2 linked regions of the Daphnia pulex genome follow. The protein of the gene in region 2 purifies or fractionates together with the protein of the main gene of each other region. This does not show direct contact. Links are inferred from orthologs where the notes say so. Each region holds a gene or a part of one and is shown on either strand. Other genes may lie near its edges.

Region 1 (8,267 bases), on a different chromosome or scaffold from region 2:
CCTTGATTTCTTTTGTTGCGCTTTGGTAGCTTTCGAAGAGACTTTTCAATCTTGTTTCTAAGGTTTCTAGTTCTTTAACATCTTCTTGGGCCATTACTTGATTTGCAAATCCGTTGATCCGGGTTATTGCTCTTGTTATGTGGCCTTTGGTGGCTGACCTTGTGTTTTTCATTGACTGAACCATTCTTCCTGGTTGTGTAGCTCTTCAAGAGCTGTTGACTGGGGAAAAGGAGATGAAATAGAGAATTAATTTAATTTTTTTTTTTTTTTCGATCACTTATCGACTGATTTGCCCGTTTCCTTTTCCTGTTTTCCTTGGGGTTTCGTGGAACGGATGAGTTTCCGTTTTTTGTTTCCACTTTGTTTGAAATCCCTTGGATGTATCTGAAAAAGAATCGATTTAAATTTGGAGCTAGGGTAATACCCAGGCTCCTGCAAAAATCCGGGCTGGATGACTCAATTAAGTGAATCTGGTTTTTTTCTGTTGTTGGTGGCGCCACTTGCGGCGTGCCACTACACTTTGCGAGAGAGGAAATAAAGTTTTTTTTTTTTTGGTGGCGCCCCTTGCGGCGTGCCACTACACTGAGCGTGAGCGAGAAATAATTTTTTTTTTTTTTTTTTTTTTTGTTGGTGGCGCCCCTTGCGGCGTGCCACTACAGTGAGCGTGAGAGAGAAATAGTTTTTTTTTTTTTCGTTTGGATGCACCGATGTTTCGGGATCCTATGTAAGAGGGTTTTTTTTCTTTTTTTTTTTAAGGAAGGACAGATGGACAGAGAATATTCATTCAATAATTGTATTTAGCGGTTGTTTTGGAGACCTTTCGGCTCCTCTGTGAATGTTGAGAGAAAGAGAAAGATTATTTCTGACTCGATACCATCAGCAAGCGAAGAATGGATACGGGAGGACACACGTGCAATGAAAAGAGGAGACGAAATCCCAGTAGTTTAGCCCAGGCCGATCTATGGGCCAGAGGTTGGGACGGCGTGTTCAATGGCCGCCCCCTCAGGCTAGCCCGACAACGAAAGGCACAAAAAAGTCGAAAGAAAAAAAATGGAATTTTTGGGCATAGGTTCCCCCCTTTTCTACGTCTTTTTTGTTTTTACAATTTAGTAGTTTTAGTTTGGGCAGATTTTAACCACCCAACAACAAAAGAAAGAAACAAAGATAAACGTTTGGGGGGTCTAGAATTGTGTAGCCCCAACCGGCTTCACAATTTTGAGTTTTGAGTGAGTTGATTTGAGTGATTTGAGAGGGAGGACACGGTTATGCACTGGGTTAAAAACCGTTCGAAGGACCATGTAGAAAATGTAATAGGGATGTTCGGCGTGTCGGGCCGTTTACTTACAGTTTCCAAGTTGAATAAATTAGACACGAACAAAACCGTGTCTTTTACCTCTCGTCTATTTTAACACACTGAATATTGTACAGTAAATTGGGGGGGGAATAAACAATAGGGGGTAGGGTAACAACGACTGAATTTGGGGCCACCTATCGGGGGCCCCCAAGGCAATAGTCGCGTAGGTGCGCCGGTGTTGTTGTGCGGCGTCCTGATCTCGTCGTCGTCTGTTGGAATGGAATATTCCTAACATGTACTGTCACTGAACCTTGATAGTGGGGATTGATGAACAGTCGATTGATACTATTGTTTCTATCATAATCCATGAATTGGGGATGATTGACTAAGTGATGATCTTTAATGGGGAATCTTTGAAATCTTTGTGCTGGGAAACCATGATGAAAATCTTGAACGAATAATGGCTCACATCCAATCTGCATTGAATGTCTTGAAAACCCACTGCGAGCTCCATGGTAGTCCATCATTGATGGAGCTCTTCCTATCAGAGGTCTATTTGGACCATCAAAATGTGGTCTTTGATGATGAAATCCTGGAGACGTCATCCTGGAAGGAGGTGCATTACGCATCTGAACAGGGATAGGGAAATTTGGTTGGCGTTTGAAGTTGAAATTTTTGAAGGAACTGGCAGGCTGTCCACTCCTGACGCTAACATTTTTATGGGGGCTTTGAGTCGGAGCACTGTCAACAGTACCAGTTTTCTGACTGGTTGAGCATGTTTCAAGTCCTTGATTGGGTTGTGCTGACGTGTTCTTTTTCAACTCCTTGGAGGCTTCTTGTCGATTTGTGGATACTTCTTCGTATTCAATAATATCTTCATTGAGTCCCAGATCTAAAATATCCTCCTCAACTTCAGGGGCTTCGTATTCAATGTCGGAAAGGTTTTGTTCACTCTCATAGGCGAATCCATGTTTGCTCTCTGTTATTTCATTATCCTCGAGAAGCCGTTCTTCTTCTTCCTCAGCGATATCGTATTCGCTGTTCCAGTTTCCCATTTCCAGTACGTCTTTTTCCTCTAGCTGATCCTCCATTCTACAACACAAAAATGTTTTCATTCAACACACAATAAACGGATGGACGTTCGATTTGTTACCTTATTTAAAAGTGAAATATGAACTTTAGAAGGAAGTACTGGAACAAATAATGCAGAAACTATACCAAATTGTAAACTAAAAGTGTCACATAAGAAAAATGTAGCAAGATTTCTATGATATACAAGCCATTTTTTAGCGATTGAAAAATGAAACACCATACACATAGAAGGATAGTAAACAGTGGGAAGGAGCTATGGGTAAATGGAGGGAAATGTGGTGTGGAAAGATCTTTATGCTTTATTTTGTTTTGTGTTTTATTTTTAATGTTATCTAATTAGGTTGTATTCTTGTAGCCCTACCTGTTTCCAGTTTTCAAGGGATTAGAGGTAACACGCAGAATTTTTGCGGCAAAGTCTTCAAGAAACAAAAATACAAAATGAGCTTAGCTTATTACATCATACACCTAATTTGTGGGAGCCAGGTTGCTTAAAAATGTGAAAAAAACTCAACGCGTTATTTTTTTTTGTATCATCACCTTCTTAACCAAGATTTTTCTGCTTTATTAAGAAATATTTCCGTTGTGGCTTCTATGGATAGTTTATTATTATTAACATTAAATTATTCATGCCTAGTCACTAGATGCCATCGTCTGGCCATTGTGTAGACAACAAAATGACTAGGACACGCACGACGAGAATCAAGATATGCAAATTTGTATGTTATCAGAGTCGAAATAGAAGAATCTTTAAATTAACACTTTACTTACAACGCACCAGAAAAATTTCACTAATAGTCATAGGAATAATAAAAATCTTTGTTATTTTTCTGTGCCACTCAGTGCTCTTCTAACTCTTATTCTTGCCGCCAGCCTCCACATATTTTTTCATAACCTTTCACTTTATCGTTTTCAATTATACGCACGACTATTCCTGCAGAAAAAAAAAATAGATTTTTCGAGGATTTGCATATTCCAAAACTAGTCATTGAGTTCCTATTCCTATTAATGGGGTAGAAAAGTAAAAGTTTTGCTTTAATAAATAATGCCGCTCCCACACCTGGGTACGGCAATAAATAATTAAAGTGAGTTACGTAAACGAGGTGAAGCATTTATTTACGATGTTATGAAACATTATCGTTTGAAATTATTAATTGCACAGATATTTACAATGTCGTTTTTCAGCGTAAAGCACGTATGAAACAAAGATGTGCTAAATGGTAAGCTAGTTATCAGGAAAGGTAATAAAATTAGAATATTCAGTGGCAACCGCAAGATTTCACGACCATATTGCGATATTTCTTTAAAATGACATTGGAATTGTCATCGAAATAAAGTACCGAGATTGAGGACAGTTTGATCGGTGCGCAACAAGGCTTGGGAACACGATACGGATTCATTAAATGAACAAGCGTTTGAACAATGGCATGATTTGAAGCGTTCATGTGCGCGTTCAATGGAAACGAACACTCTCCATTGCAATAAGAAGCAGCATATCCATCGGGAGCAATAATCCAATCCTGGCAAGAAAAACGTTATTAAATTTAACTGATAGCCCACATGGGAACACAATAAAGCTATTTTATTTAATTATTTTAGCCGGTAATGCTTCGAAATGGTTAATAATTAATTATCGCCACCTTAAACATCTAGTTTTGTGAACTGGTTTAAAATAGTTACCTGCCATCCCAAATCACGGAAACTGACGTAGAGATTCTTTTTTTGACAGCTACGCCTCGATAGTCTGGCATCTAAATCTAGTATGGTCAATTAAAATCACAGTTGAAAATTTATTTATCTACATCTAGTTTAACATTACCTGCATATGGATTCCAACCTCCAAACTCTTCGTTATCTTTGCTGCGCTTTTTATTATTGTTTGGAGTTTGCCTTCTGATTCGGCTACTTCTCTTTGGAACTTCATCGTTTTCAAAATCTTCATCGTCAATTAGTTCTTTGGGAGGAACTGGCAATTGTTGGCCAAGCTGCTTTTGGGTTGAAGGCATCGACGATCGAAAAAATGCTACCATAAAAGGTTGAAGTTTGTCATTGCCATGAGACCCAACTAGTCCAACTTCCCTGGCAGAAATTTGTTTGCCTATAAAATAATTGTCATGAAATACTAGTTTAGCATAAAATATTTAAATTATCAACAACCTGAAGTAGATAAACGACACACCAATTGAAGCCCGAAATTTTCTTCAGGATTCACTAGCCATTTCTGAAGAGGCACAGACACATTGACTGCTACCCAACCTTCTTGATGGCTGTCAATTTCCATTGAATCAATGTAGATCAATGAATCTTCCAGTCCAATTTCATACACAGTAATAGAAAAATTTTGGCTTTTTCCTTCAGTTTCTTCTTCATCTGCTTTTTCAGTAGTATTCATATTTTCTTGAACCATTGTTAAGTTGATGTATAATCTTAGTTCAGCAGATATCACTGTTGTTTGTGCTGGAACTTCCGAAAGATCAAACCAAAATCTGCCAAAACTGTGGTGATGTCTTATTCCATGTAAGTGCTGTCCTGTTGGGAAAATACTATGTAATTAATTCAAAAATTATGTATAAATTGTAATTTGTCTGTTACCTCTGTTAACAAAGCTCATAATAATATCAGCTTCATCCATAGAGTGTACATCTGAATCGGAAACATTAAATTCCCTTTCAATCAGATCGGGAGTCAGTTTAAGTTCTCCTGAATCTTCTTCCGTAAGAGATTGGTACACATCAATAAGAAATCGAGGTGCAGAGCTAAGGCCATCATCCACCTCAAGTTTCTTTTTGGATGGTAGCATCAAAACGGGTCGAGGACGATGCTCTAAACCCAAGAGATGCAGTATTTCACTCTGCATTTCTTTTTTCTCACGTTTGTTCAAATGCTTGTGAACCACTGTTTGATCGACGCCATTGTCATAGTAAAAACCAGACAATGCAGTACACGAAGCAACGAAAAGAAAGGCAAAAACGAAATCCTTCATTATTAAATCATGCAGGTAACCGATTGAACAAAAAAGCGACGAGCAAGACAAAGCCTAATGCCGCACAGAAAGACAACTGCACATAACTGAGACGTGAAGACGAACCCAGGTTTTTGGAATTCAAATAGCCTCCAGGTATCATTAGGCAGTTGCCATTTTATTAGTCACATCATTACAATATTATAAAAATGCACAGTGTTGATTGAATGATTGAACGCTGAAGATTAAATTTTTAATAAAACGAAATGTACAGTAAAATAACCCGTATGAAGTAATTCGAATTTTACAAAAATGTTGTTTTTGAAAGAGTCAAATAGACAAACATAGATGGGAATCTTGGGATGGGATCGTGAAGCAGTTGCGACTTGCGACGTTGTACGCTACTGCAGTACAAGTGAACACATCTACAATGGGAGCCTTAAATTTTTGCAAATCAAATTTTGCTACTTGTGTCAATTTACTAGGTGTTGTTTTTATTTTATTTCATTGTAGTTGAATGAAAATTGTATGATAAAAACTTATCGAGTTAAGAATTGTAATCCAAGGTGGCGCAAAAATCCATCTTGGTCTCCTATCTAACATTATCTGAACATCGAGACTCAAGAAGTGATCAACACAGCTGTCAAAATAACCCCACAATATTATACATACATTAGTGTTTTGTGAAGTCCCAGTTTATATAAATTCAACACACCAACATAGATAGCATAAAAGATGATTAAGAATCTAGGAACTGCTTTTAAAACAATTGATGCTTATCCAAAAACTTTAGAAGATTTTACAATAAGAACAGCAACTGGTGCTATGGGTATGTATTTTTTTGTAAATTTGAAAATCACTTAATGTATGTATTGGGAAGCTTCTATCAAACAAGATGTTGATACTTTCAAACTGATCCTGAGGTTTGCAATGAAGAAAGATTATAAGTATTTCTATTTACTATCTTGTTTCATCTTTCTTTGCAGTCACAGTTTTCAGCAGTATAATTATGGTATTTACAATTCTTATATTCTAATATCTTAAAGTTACTAAAATTTTCATTGATTCAGGCCTTCCTATTTGTGATTGAATTTCGAGATTTTCTATCAATAAATGTTTCAGAACAATTGTATGTGGATACAACTAGAATTCCAAACATGAAAATCAACTTTGATGTCACATTTCCAACAATTTCTTGTTCATGTAAGTGTTGTATGAGATATAACTACAATTAGTCCTAATGCTCACTGCAAAATGTCAACAAAAGTCAATCTTTTTTTTCTGTAGACTTGAGTGTGGATGCTGTAGATTCATCTGGTGAACAGCAGTTTGGAGTTGAACATAACATTTTCAAACAAAGACTAAACTTGTTAGGGGAGCCTTTACAAGCTGCTGAATTAGAAGAGATTAACAAAACTCACAACAAAACAGAAACATCCACGGAAGAATCAGCGTCAAAACCCTGTAATAGTTGTTATGGAGCTAAAGAAGGTTGTTGTGAAACATGTGCGGAAGTTCGGGAAGCTTACAGACAAAAAGTAAAGGATCTCAATTAGTCTTACATTTCTGCATCATGTAGTGATATTTTGAATACTTGCTTAGAACTGGGCTTTCAGACCGGAGGAATTCGAGCAGTGCCGTAATGAAAAAAATTTGACAAGAGACTATTCTGCGTTTAAAGAAGGCTGCAAACTTTACGGTTATTTGGAAGTCAATAGAGTCAGTGGTTCATTTCACATTGCTCCAGGGAAAAGTTATGCTATTAACCATGTTCATGGTGAGTTCTTTTTTTTCAATTGTCAAACTGAAGAATGAAAACTTAAAAGTATCACATTTGACTTTCACAGTGCATGATGTCCAACCTTATTCATCTGAAGATTTTAATGTCACACATCACATTAATTCACTATCATTTGGAACTTCTCTAATTGGAAAGGAAAACCCTCTAGATGGTTTCCTCACTACTGCAGACAAAGGTAAGACAAATGACCTGTAACCAGTAGGGCCAAGAATAAAGACTGTAGAGGATACTAGGATAGTTAAAATAGTTATAGGAAATTTAATGATCTGATTTTCATTACAAATGTATTGATGCTTTCTACTAAATTTAATTTCAAATTGGGATTACTATTAGCTTCAGCATCTTATTCCTGTTCCAATAGCCATGAATGTACCGAATGTACCTCCACCTTGGACCATGATTTTCCCAACAGTGTTGATCAGTTCTCTCCCTCTCAGTCCTTGTCTGCAATAAGTTAAAAGAAAAATAGTATTAGTAGAAAACTTTGCCATGTGTGTTCAAGTTGTCATTACCTTAGTGCTCCAAAACCACCAAATAGAGCTCCAGTTGCCATGCCAATACTGAAACCCATTATGAAGCCAACCTTCATTTTGTCAAAGCAGCTCTGTTGCTGGCCTTGTTGGTATCCACCTCCTACGGGCATAGGCATCTTTCTTGATTTTAAGTTAGCGAAAAACGGATAATAAATACAAGAATCTGATTTTTTCCCTGTACGTAGTACAGCTAAGCGTGACTGTTGCGATAACTCTTAATAGCTTCGATATGTCGTCTGCTTTTATAGGAAGACAGCGTTGTGACTTAAATTCAATTTAAACAATGTTGCGCTAAGAAAATTTGCCAAAAATAAAAACTTATTTCTGTTTGTTTGTTTTTTTACAGGAGCTATGATGTTTCAATATTACATCAAAGTTGTACCGACGTATGTATTAAAATATTCCTTTTAACATTTTAGTATTTAGTCATGCTTGTAACTTGTAAGTTTTTTAGCAGCCCCGTGCAGTGCGTGCACGCGCGAAAAGCTAAATTACTTATTGATAGTTGCTAAAAAATTACTTTATCAAGAAACTTCCAGACATGATTTTATAACAATCAATAACATTAACAATTGCTTTAGATGGTAC
Region 2 (8,604 bases):
GGTGGAAGCATCTGTGTAGTTCTAGTGTTTGACTGTTGACAAAATTAAAGTAACTATTGATAGACTAACAGAAAATGAGCATAAGGGTTTTCTTCATTATTTAAGGAGTAAAACAATAAACAATCCCATTAAACAGCAGTATGTTAAGCTGAATTCAGATGTCTAATGCTGAGTTGTTCGCTTTTCGCGTATATTGATTAAATACAAATCACTCCAAAACTAATATTTTTTACTTGACAGTACATGTCAATCGCGTATCTTTGGAACAATGCTAGTGCCTTTGCCAAAATATGGATGTTTTGCATTATTTGGGCCTAATTCAGCATTATTTGGGCCTAATTCAACAAAGGCAGAAACAAAAATTGATTTTGCAAGACCATAGCAGCCGAAATTATACTTTCCCGAGACCCGAGTGAAAGTCGAAACTAACGCCCAATACAGATATTTATAAACCCAATCAGTTGCTGCTGTTCAACGGGGATTACGCCAAGGTATGACAATCTAATAGATTCGTGTTTAATTTACCTGAGGGGAAGATAAACGGTAGAAAATTAAGACAAACTCCATTGGAGAATAAACGATTTCCACACTCTACTGTCTCAGCCGACAAGAACTAATAAACAGCACTCCACGTATGTCGGAGTATGGCCGCCAGAGGGACAGGAGAAACAGAGACATGGAGATGAGCCACTCAATAGACAGTGGAAAATCCGTCTCATAATAATTATGAATGGGATCTTAAAATTATAGTCTCTTTTAAAATCTCATAAAAAAGTGTTGGCGATCTTCAGAAGTTTCTAGTTCGTTTTTTTATACAACCAACATCTATAAACTCGCGTAGGAACTCTCATCTCTAGCGGGCGTGTTGAATACTAATGAGAAAGAATTTAAATTTCTTTCATTAATCAAATAAATATCCTTATTAGTGTGTCTTTATTAATATCCAGTCATCGCTAGAAATTAAAATTTTCATTAAACATCAATTTTCCACTTTAGAAGAAACAACAAAAAATATTCCGTAAGGTAGGATTTTAGGAAGATTCCATATTTTTTGGAATTTGTTAGCTAATTCAGTCAGATTCAGATATACGACTACATAAAATAACTGAAATCCCCTCCTTATTCAGAATTAGTGAAAATAAAATAATTTTTTTTTGCTTAATTCAATGTAGCTGGAAGTACAAAATAATTTTTAAGTTCGCTAGACAAACTAATTTGAAAGTTTACTCCGGTTTTAAGATCAACGTAATAAGGTAACGTCAGCGAATTAGTTAAAAACCATGCATTTTTGGGGGTTGGGTGATGTGATCCACAATCTTTTTGGGCCGCCGCACTAATTCAGTGATTTTTTTCATTTTATAAATAATTTTGCATAAAAAATCGGATATATTTTCAACGAGATTACGTCAGACTCATCAAAAAATGTAAACTAAACAAAATTTCATGAAAGGACGATACAATAAATTTCATAATTGACCCTACCTTCATGCCTTCTATTGTCAACAGAATTTCTTTTCGGGTCATAGTTATAGGTACGATGGAAAAAAATGAAAAACTTTCAGTAAGCAATAATTTTAGTAATAAGGAATTCGATTTCGATACAATAAGGATAATCAATCGTTTAGCGCGTAAAACACGTCGATGAATTCTCGCTCTAACAATGTCACTTATGGCACACAATAGTCAACAACACACAAAATATTACTTTCAATGAGCAAGGCAAATACAACCCTTTAATGGCACTTGCATTTTTTGCCCGTATGCAAAATCAGGCTGTCACGACCCTCGTCCGGTTCTTGATGCGACGTTTTTATATTAAGAATCTGCCAATAGTAGCAGAAAAGCGTAGAATAACAGACAGACTGGATACCTATTTTTGAGACATGATTTTGATAACTGCTTGGAGAGATTCATTGAAATTCATGCCACTCCAACCACTTTTGGCTTGTCAAAAATCAAGTCTAAAATTCAGAGATGGATCCTGCATAGCTAGTTTCAACAGAGATTTCTTTAATCGAAGTGCGGGGAGTCGGACGTTGGGATTTTGGTGCCAGCATTCTTTCATTAAGTGCCAAATGCCCGACAGAATCTACAGAAATAATGGATAAGAACATAGTTAGCGTAACCACTCACAGTATGAGTCGATCTAATAGAGTATAAAAAGGTAGAGATTTTCATAAAATTATGAAGGTGTTGAAAAACACATATTTACTGGATCTGATTCCCAATGCATAGGAATAACTGGTCGATACTGGTCAATGCAAACCACTTTACGCATATCTTCAAAACTCGGATCTGACGGCACCATATCAAAAAAGGGAGGCCGGTATTCCTCAACAAATCCTGACGACACGGTACGTCGGCACATTTCCCACAGAACAAGACCTATGAAAACACAATAAAAAATATAGACAAAATAATAAAAGAATTCTAAAAATGTTAACGAAGACGCACCAAAAGCATACATGTCCACCCGTCGAAAAGATTCAAAAATACTCATATTGATTCTGTTTTGAAAAACAGAGAAAGGAAAAAAGTTAAAAATGTTTCCATATACAATGCGAAAAATTAATAGGTAATTACGTTTGATCCAACACTTCAGGGCTCATATAGCGTTTAGTGCCCACACGAGGATTGTTGGCAACATTCATTTCACCAGTTGTTTGAGTGTGAGTAACTGCCAAACCAAAATCCGCTATAACGCACATTCCATTCGATCTGACCAGAATATTTTTCGTTTTAATGTCTCGATGAGCAATTGCAGGTTTACCCTAAATAAATATAAAATTGAACAAACGAATGTGCTACCACAAGAAAATAATAATAATAATAATAATAAAAAAAACATAGCTAGATCGCATTAAACATTCAAAGTGAAGAAGGAACAACAGAGATGAATTTGGTACCTGGGTTCCAAAAATCTCAGTGTGAAGATGGAGAATGCCACTGATAGCCGATATAGATAAATGCAACAGTTGGACATGGTTAAGCGAATGGCGGTTCAGATGGTCATAGAGAGAACCTAAGGGATGATAATGGGTAACGAGCCACAATTGCGTAATAGAATTACGAGACGTCATGTCAGATCCAATGTATCCCAAAATATTCTCATGGCGAAACAACATTGTACTATGTGGAATAAAATGTATTATTTAAATTAATTTGGAACTAAAAAGATAATTTGACGAATACCTGTAAATCTCTGTTTCTCTTGTCCATGATGCTTCATCTCTAGAAAAGAAAATTTTAACAGCAACGCTTTCTCCATGCCACAATCCTCTCCAAACCTCTCCATAACGTCCTTTTCCGATACATTCGCCTAGAGTAATCTGTAAATTTGGACAAGAAAAATTTTAATCTCCATCAAGAACGTAGAAAACGGCATGGAATACCTGTTTGGCCAAAGTTCTCTGAATAAGTAGAGGCATTCCAGAGCCACTTCCAGATGTAACGGAATGCTCGAAAACTTCCTATTTTTCAAAATTTGATGTTAGATATATAGAAAGAAATGATAATAATTTTAAATACCCTTAAAGTACTGTCTCCAGCAGCTGTCACTCGTAACTCATCCCTGTAAGTGTAATCAGGATCTTGCGAACCTTCCATAGTGGTGAGCCGAGCCATTCGGCGTCTGTGCCAATGCCGCATCATTAATAGAATTACAGCCAGAACGATGCCCAAAATCACAACAGGGCACAGAATAGCTAGCATTAAGCGTAAAACAGTTGCATAGTATTCTTCATCTTCTGAGTTGTCTGCAAAAGAAGGGAGGGGGGGGGGGACAAAAAATGATGTAGCCAAATTAAGCAATAAATATGGATTTAGAACCACATTGTAGCCTTTCTATTTACCTGAATATTGAGTGGTAGGGAGCATGGGAAAAGTGCCATTGTTACAAAAATTTCCTTCACAACATTCTATGGCATAAGAGCTGCTTTCCTGTTGAATTTCTCCATTTCCATCAAATGACAAAGTATTGCAATAAAGTACAACTTGTTCTGCATTTGTAGTACAACCCTTAGAAACTGATTCAACCCCAGAAATATCTCGAACACGAGATTTCCAACACTAATCATTAATGGATAAAAATTAGTAAATAAATTTTACACAGAATTAAAGTACAATAATGAGACCTGGTAGGCATTATTGCAAATGGTTTCTTCTGAACAGTCTGGCTGTTCACAGGAATGGCATTGATATTTAGGATGATGCTTGTTTAAGTTAGGTATACCAAATGTTCCATTTCCAGATATGGGGAGGCTATTTTCTTCATCATCTTCAAACATACCCATTGGAAAACTTGGCATACTTTCCAGTAAAGAGCTTGAAAAAACTAAATCTGAAATCAATGAATCAACAGTTGTTACATATTACCGATTTAAATAACAGACAATTCACAAAAATATAGAATATTGATACACAGGCCTACCTTCACTGGAACCGTCGTCGTCAGAGACAACGCATGTAGATACAAGCAGTGAAAAACTAAAAATTCGCAGTGCCTTTGAATAAATCATTCTAAAAAATGGGGCAGGGAATGAATTTCACCATCAGAAAGATTGGAAGAATTCAATAAATAGCGAACTTCGGTATATACTTGAACTTCAATACAGTTTATAACTAATGTTATAAGTTTAGTCAGCCTGTAGAAAAAAAAATGCAAAAAGAAAAAGATCCTAAATGAGTAAATTCCCAAACTCCCAAACAAAGACTTGTTGCCACCATGTTGCCAAATGTCTCAAAACTTTATTTTTATAGCATTTGAAATTTGATTATTTGAATTGACATTGCAAAAGCAAAAGCATAAGCAAAAGCAAAAGAGTATTCTGCCAACACTAATTTAATTTTACTTGGATGCGCAGTGCAGAACCATAATTTAATGCTCTAGTGCTCGTGCTCCTGACTCAACATGGTCTCCGCAACATGGTCTCCTGTGCTGTCAGTACGTAGCAGTCTCAGTGGCCTGACTGGCCTCTCACCACTCACCACACAGGTCCACAGCCGTCCACAGCTCTCACTGCTTTCTCAAGCTCTCAAGCTCTCTGGCCAACAATTTTTCGGGTAACTAATTGTTTCTGTTTTGTTTTTGTTTTGTATTTGTTTTTTTTTTTTTTTTTTTTTTTTGCTAGAAGCAAGCTAGAATATAATAATTACTACATTTTAACCCGAGCGGCCTAAGTCATAAAACGTAACCTCTACCAGCCGGCAGTCCGCCGGTAATTCGTTCAAAACGCATTCGTGACATGTAAAAAGAATTTCCACCTCCAACCACTATTAATTGAAATTACATTTGAAATAAAAAAGCAATGCACTTGACACAAAAAATGGCGTCATTTGTTTCCAAGTTGTATAGATAAGAGATAAAAATCCCAAGAGGCAAAAAAACCACCATTAATTTGAGACACTTGTATCTCAGCATATGATCCAGGTCTATTTATTTATTATAGTATAGACAGTATAGACTATGGCTATACTGTTAGGTGTTAGAGCACCTTGCAGCTGACAAAAATAATTTGACATTTGTGTGAGGTGCTCTTGAGGTGTCACCCTAATTAATCGGAATAGACTTGGCAACAGCCTTAGCAATCTGGACGAAGCAGGACGAATATTCCAGCTGTCACTTCGGCTATTGGATTTATTGGATGGAGATTATATTCAGTTACTATCACGTTAAAGACAGGCCATCATACCTTATCGTATGACAAATAAACAGTCTATAACTGCCAATCGTTCCCATTTATGTCGTGTGCATAGAAAATTGATTTGCTTCTCATATGTAAGTAACTGCTCAAGTAATCGCAAATTGCATTTAAAAAAAAAAAGTAATGCCTGGAAACAATAACGCAATCGCTACACTGTCTAATTAGGTGCTTCATGCGAAGCGGACAATTTATTTCATTTGGTATGTAAAAACGTAAAAATTATGTCTGGGCATGTATGAAATAAAAAACTAAATTGTGTTTCATTTGTAATCAGAAAAAAAACAAAACAACAACAAATAACAAAATTAATGTTTTTTTTTTTTTTTTTATAAGGCTAGTATACTAACGGTACCTCTGAGCAAGATGAATCCGAGAGAATCTGCTGCTTTCATTGCTTCTGTGTCAAAGGACGTTGAAATCAATCCAGATGGCATTAGAAAAATTGCATCAGAGGTATTATTCCTTTTCACATTCGTTTTGTATCGACAAAGAGATGGTTGTAGTACAATAGTCGTAGTACAAAAAGACCATGGTCTAAACATATTTTCGCTTTAGATTTCACGAGCAATCGCTTCACGTGAGTTCGAACCAAGCAATATGATGATCCATTCCTATCCACTGCCTGTTACTGAAGATGTTTCAAGTATTGAATGGTATTTTCATAAAAAAAAAAAAAAAAGATTTTTATCGGTCTGTTTTAATAAAACATAAATCTTAGGTTATTTGTAGCTGATGCTCTAAATTTTTCATTTTGGGCTTTAGAAGAAAATGTACACTATTCTGTTGAGCTCCACGAAAAACAGTATACTGGTTATATGGCTTTATGCGCTGCGATTACTAAAGCACTGGAGGTAGAAAGTGATATCTATAAATTTGCGTTAGAACTTCTTTTAAATAATAAAGTAACTTATTTTGTTTGCATTGCTTGTTGTATTTTTCATTGTTTTTGCGTAGGCTGACATTCCAATAACATCGTCACAATATTATGCCACTATAACAAAAGAAGAAGTGGATAAAATATTTATTTCTAGCACCGGCGAGTCTATTCCACTTTTAGAAGAGAGATGGAGAATTTTGCAAGAATGTGGGAAAATCCTAAATGAGAAATTTGATGGGAAATTTTATAATTGCATCAAGCAATCGGCAAACAGTGCCACAAAGCTTTTAAATTTAATTATTTCAAACTTCCCATCATTTCGAGATGAAGGGGTCATTGAAGGAAAAAAGGTTTCCTTTTACAAGCGAGCACAAATTCTTGTTGCCGACATTTGGAGTATATTCAAAGGGAAGGTATTCGAAGAAAAATTCAACTTTTTAATTAATAAAAATGTTTACTAAATCTATGTCTTTTTAGGGATTCGGAAATTTTACTGATGTAGATTCCATCACCATGTTTGCAGATTACAGGGTCCCTCAGTCGCTGGTTCATTTTGGGGCAATGGCTTATTCCGATAGACTTCATGGATTGTTATTGGCTAATCATATGTTTTTAAATGGAGATCGGGAAGAAATGGAAATCCGTGGGTGCTCGATTCACGTATGCTAACGATAATACGATTGAGAAGTAAAAAAAAAGCAATTCGTTATAACTAACATGAATTAAATTTTTTAGTCGGTGGAATTAATAAAGGAAGAATTAAAATCACATCAGGTTAATACAACGACAAATTCTTTACCAATGAACAGGTATGTATTTTTTTTAAATTGCATTTATTATTTCAAAATTTTTTGTTGTTAATTATTTTTTACATAAAACTGCAGTGCCATGATTGATTATTTCTTGTGGGAATACCGGAGGCGTTTTGCTCAAACTCTTGCCAAAGTTCCCTACCACAAGGTCCGTTGCATATATTATTAATCAAAATTTTATATGTTGAAACATGTTACTTGATAAGGAAACGAAAGTGAATGGAAATTGCGATTTGCGAAGGAAATTGAGGAACAGAATCATAAATAAATGTCTTGAATCGAAATTCTTTAAAATTGTTTAATTTATTGAAAGAAAAAGCCGGAGCAGGACGCAAGTCCGTGCGTGCGTGTCCGTGCGTTAGAATCGCCTTGCGATTCCGAGCAGAATAGACCTAGTCCGGATTTTTAGAGTCCTTTTCCGGATTACGATCCCAAAACGACCTCCGGAAAAAAGGGGGTATTTCGGTGCGGTTGAGTGGGAGATTGCTTGTTAAAACCAGCTTGAATTTCCCCCTTAATATATTTCCTAACTGTAAGCTAATTCCAGTATGGAAGTTTTAATCTAGGGTTTCGCTCCACTTTTTTTAAAGCAGATACCAGCTTTTATTTTCCAAGTTAGGGCGTTTTCTTATCTTGCTTGAAAAATCTAACGTTAAAATCAGCTCGAATTCCCCCCCTTAATATATTTCCTAACTGTTTCAGGTAATTCTAGTATAGACCTCTGCTTGCACCGTGCGGATAGCAGGATTCTTGTAGTCCGACAACGCTGCAATCCGCCATATTAATAAAACCACACCCTTTTTTTACATGGGCTCTTATGGAAGTATTTTTTCAAAGGGTTTTTTCTCTGAGCTGGATAACAACTTCGACCAAAGAAAAATATAGAAAAATACTACATCATTCAGGTAATCCGTAGCATCTAAGTTTTCCACTATTGAAGTAGTGGAAGTCATATTAATTAAATGGTTTTGTACAGGGCATATGGGCATTGTTTACATATGTAGGACCCAAACATGTATAGTTTACTTATAATTTTTAACATTTTCCCACTGAAACACTTGGTAATTGATTTTTCCTTATTATTTAGATTGTCATGTGTGACGAGGTATTGGTGGAAAATGCTTTAATCCATCTATTCGACCTCTCAAGAAGAACTGATGGTGTTTTTTAAAGCATTCTTCTGTGGCATTCCTTGTCGGATATGTATCGGTTG

What was found.
Region 1: the proteins of activin receptor type-1-like (region 2) and bone morphogenetic protein 7-like purify together in Drosophila melanogaster (affinity purification with western blotting, with the first as the bait; 3 studies listed by BioGRID). This does not show direct contact. The link is inferred for Daphnia pulex from reciprocal best matches to the Drosophila melanogaster genes sax and gbb.

What each region holds. Positions count from the first base shown.
Region 1 is NC_060021.1:583,888-592,154, forward strand, and holds bone morphogenetic protein 7-like, read right to left. Parts: upstream 5,492-8,267; 5' UTR 5,367-5,491; coding exon 4,976-5,366; intron 4,913-4,975; coding exon 4,541-4,912; intron 4,482-4,540; coding exon 4,203-4,481; intron 4,141-4,202; coding exon 4,064-4,140; intron 3,904-4,063; coding exon 3,643-3,903; 3' UTR 3,474-3,642; downstream 1-3,473. Other genes in the region: arginine-glutamic acid dipeptide repeats protein-like, read right to left, coding at 1,588-2,385; endoplasmic reticulum-Golgi intermediate compartment protein 3-like, read left to right, coding at 6,081-6,174, 6,332-6,357, 6,416-6,548, 6,633-6,883, 6,948-7,122, 7,193-7,321, 8,026-8,065, 8,261-8,267; reactive oxygen species modulator 1-like, read right to left, coding at 7,482-7,590, 7,659-7,795. UniProt on the Drosophila melanogaster protein: Required for the growth of imaginal tissues and for patterning of the adult wing.
Region 2 is NC_060019.1:5,444,877-5,453,480, reverse strand, and holds activin receptor type-1-like, read right to left. Parts: upstream 4,744-8,604; 5' UTR 4,518-4,743; coding exon 4,430-4,517; intron 4,340-4,429; coding exon 4,134-4,339; intron 4,069-4,133; coding exon 3,852-4,068; intron 3,756-3,851; coding exon 3,529-3,755; intron 3,471-3,528; coding exon 3,393-3,470; intron 3,330-3,392; coding exon 3,193-3,329; intron 3,130-3,192; coding exon 2,907-3,129; intron 2,772-2,906; coding exon 2,584-2,771; intron 2,508-2,583; coding exon 2,455-2,507; intron 2,386-2,454; coding exon 2,213-2,385; intron 2,090-2,212; coding exon 1,949-2,089; 3' UTR 1,367-1,948; downstream 1-1,366. Other genes in the region: queuosine salvage protein-like, read left to right, coding at 4,910-5,061, 6,041-6,155, 6,258-6,355, 6,421-6,553, 6,657-6,992, 7,057-7,239, 7,315-7,388, 7,464-7,560.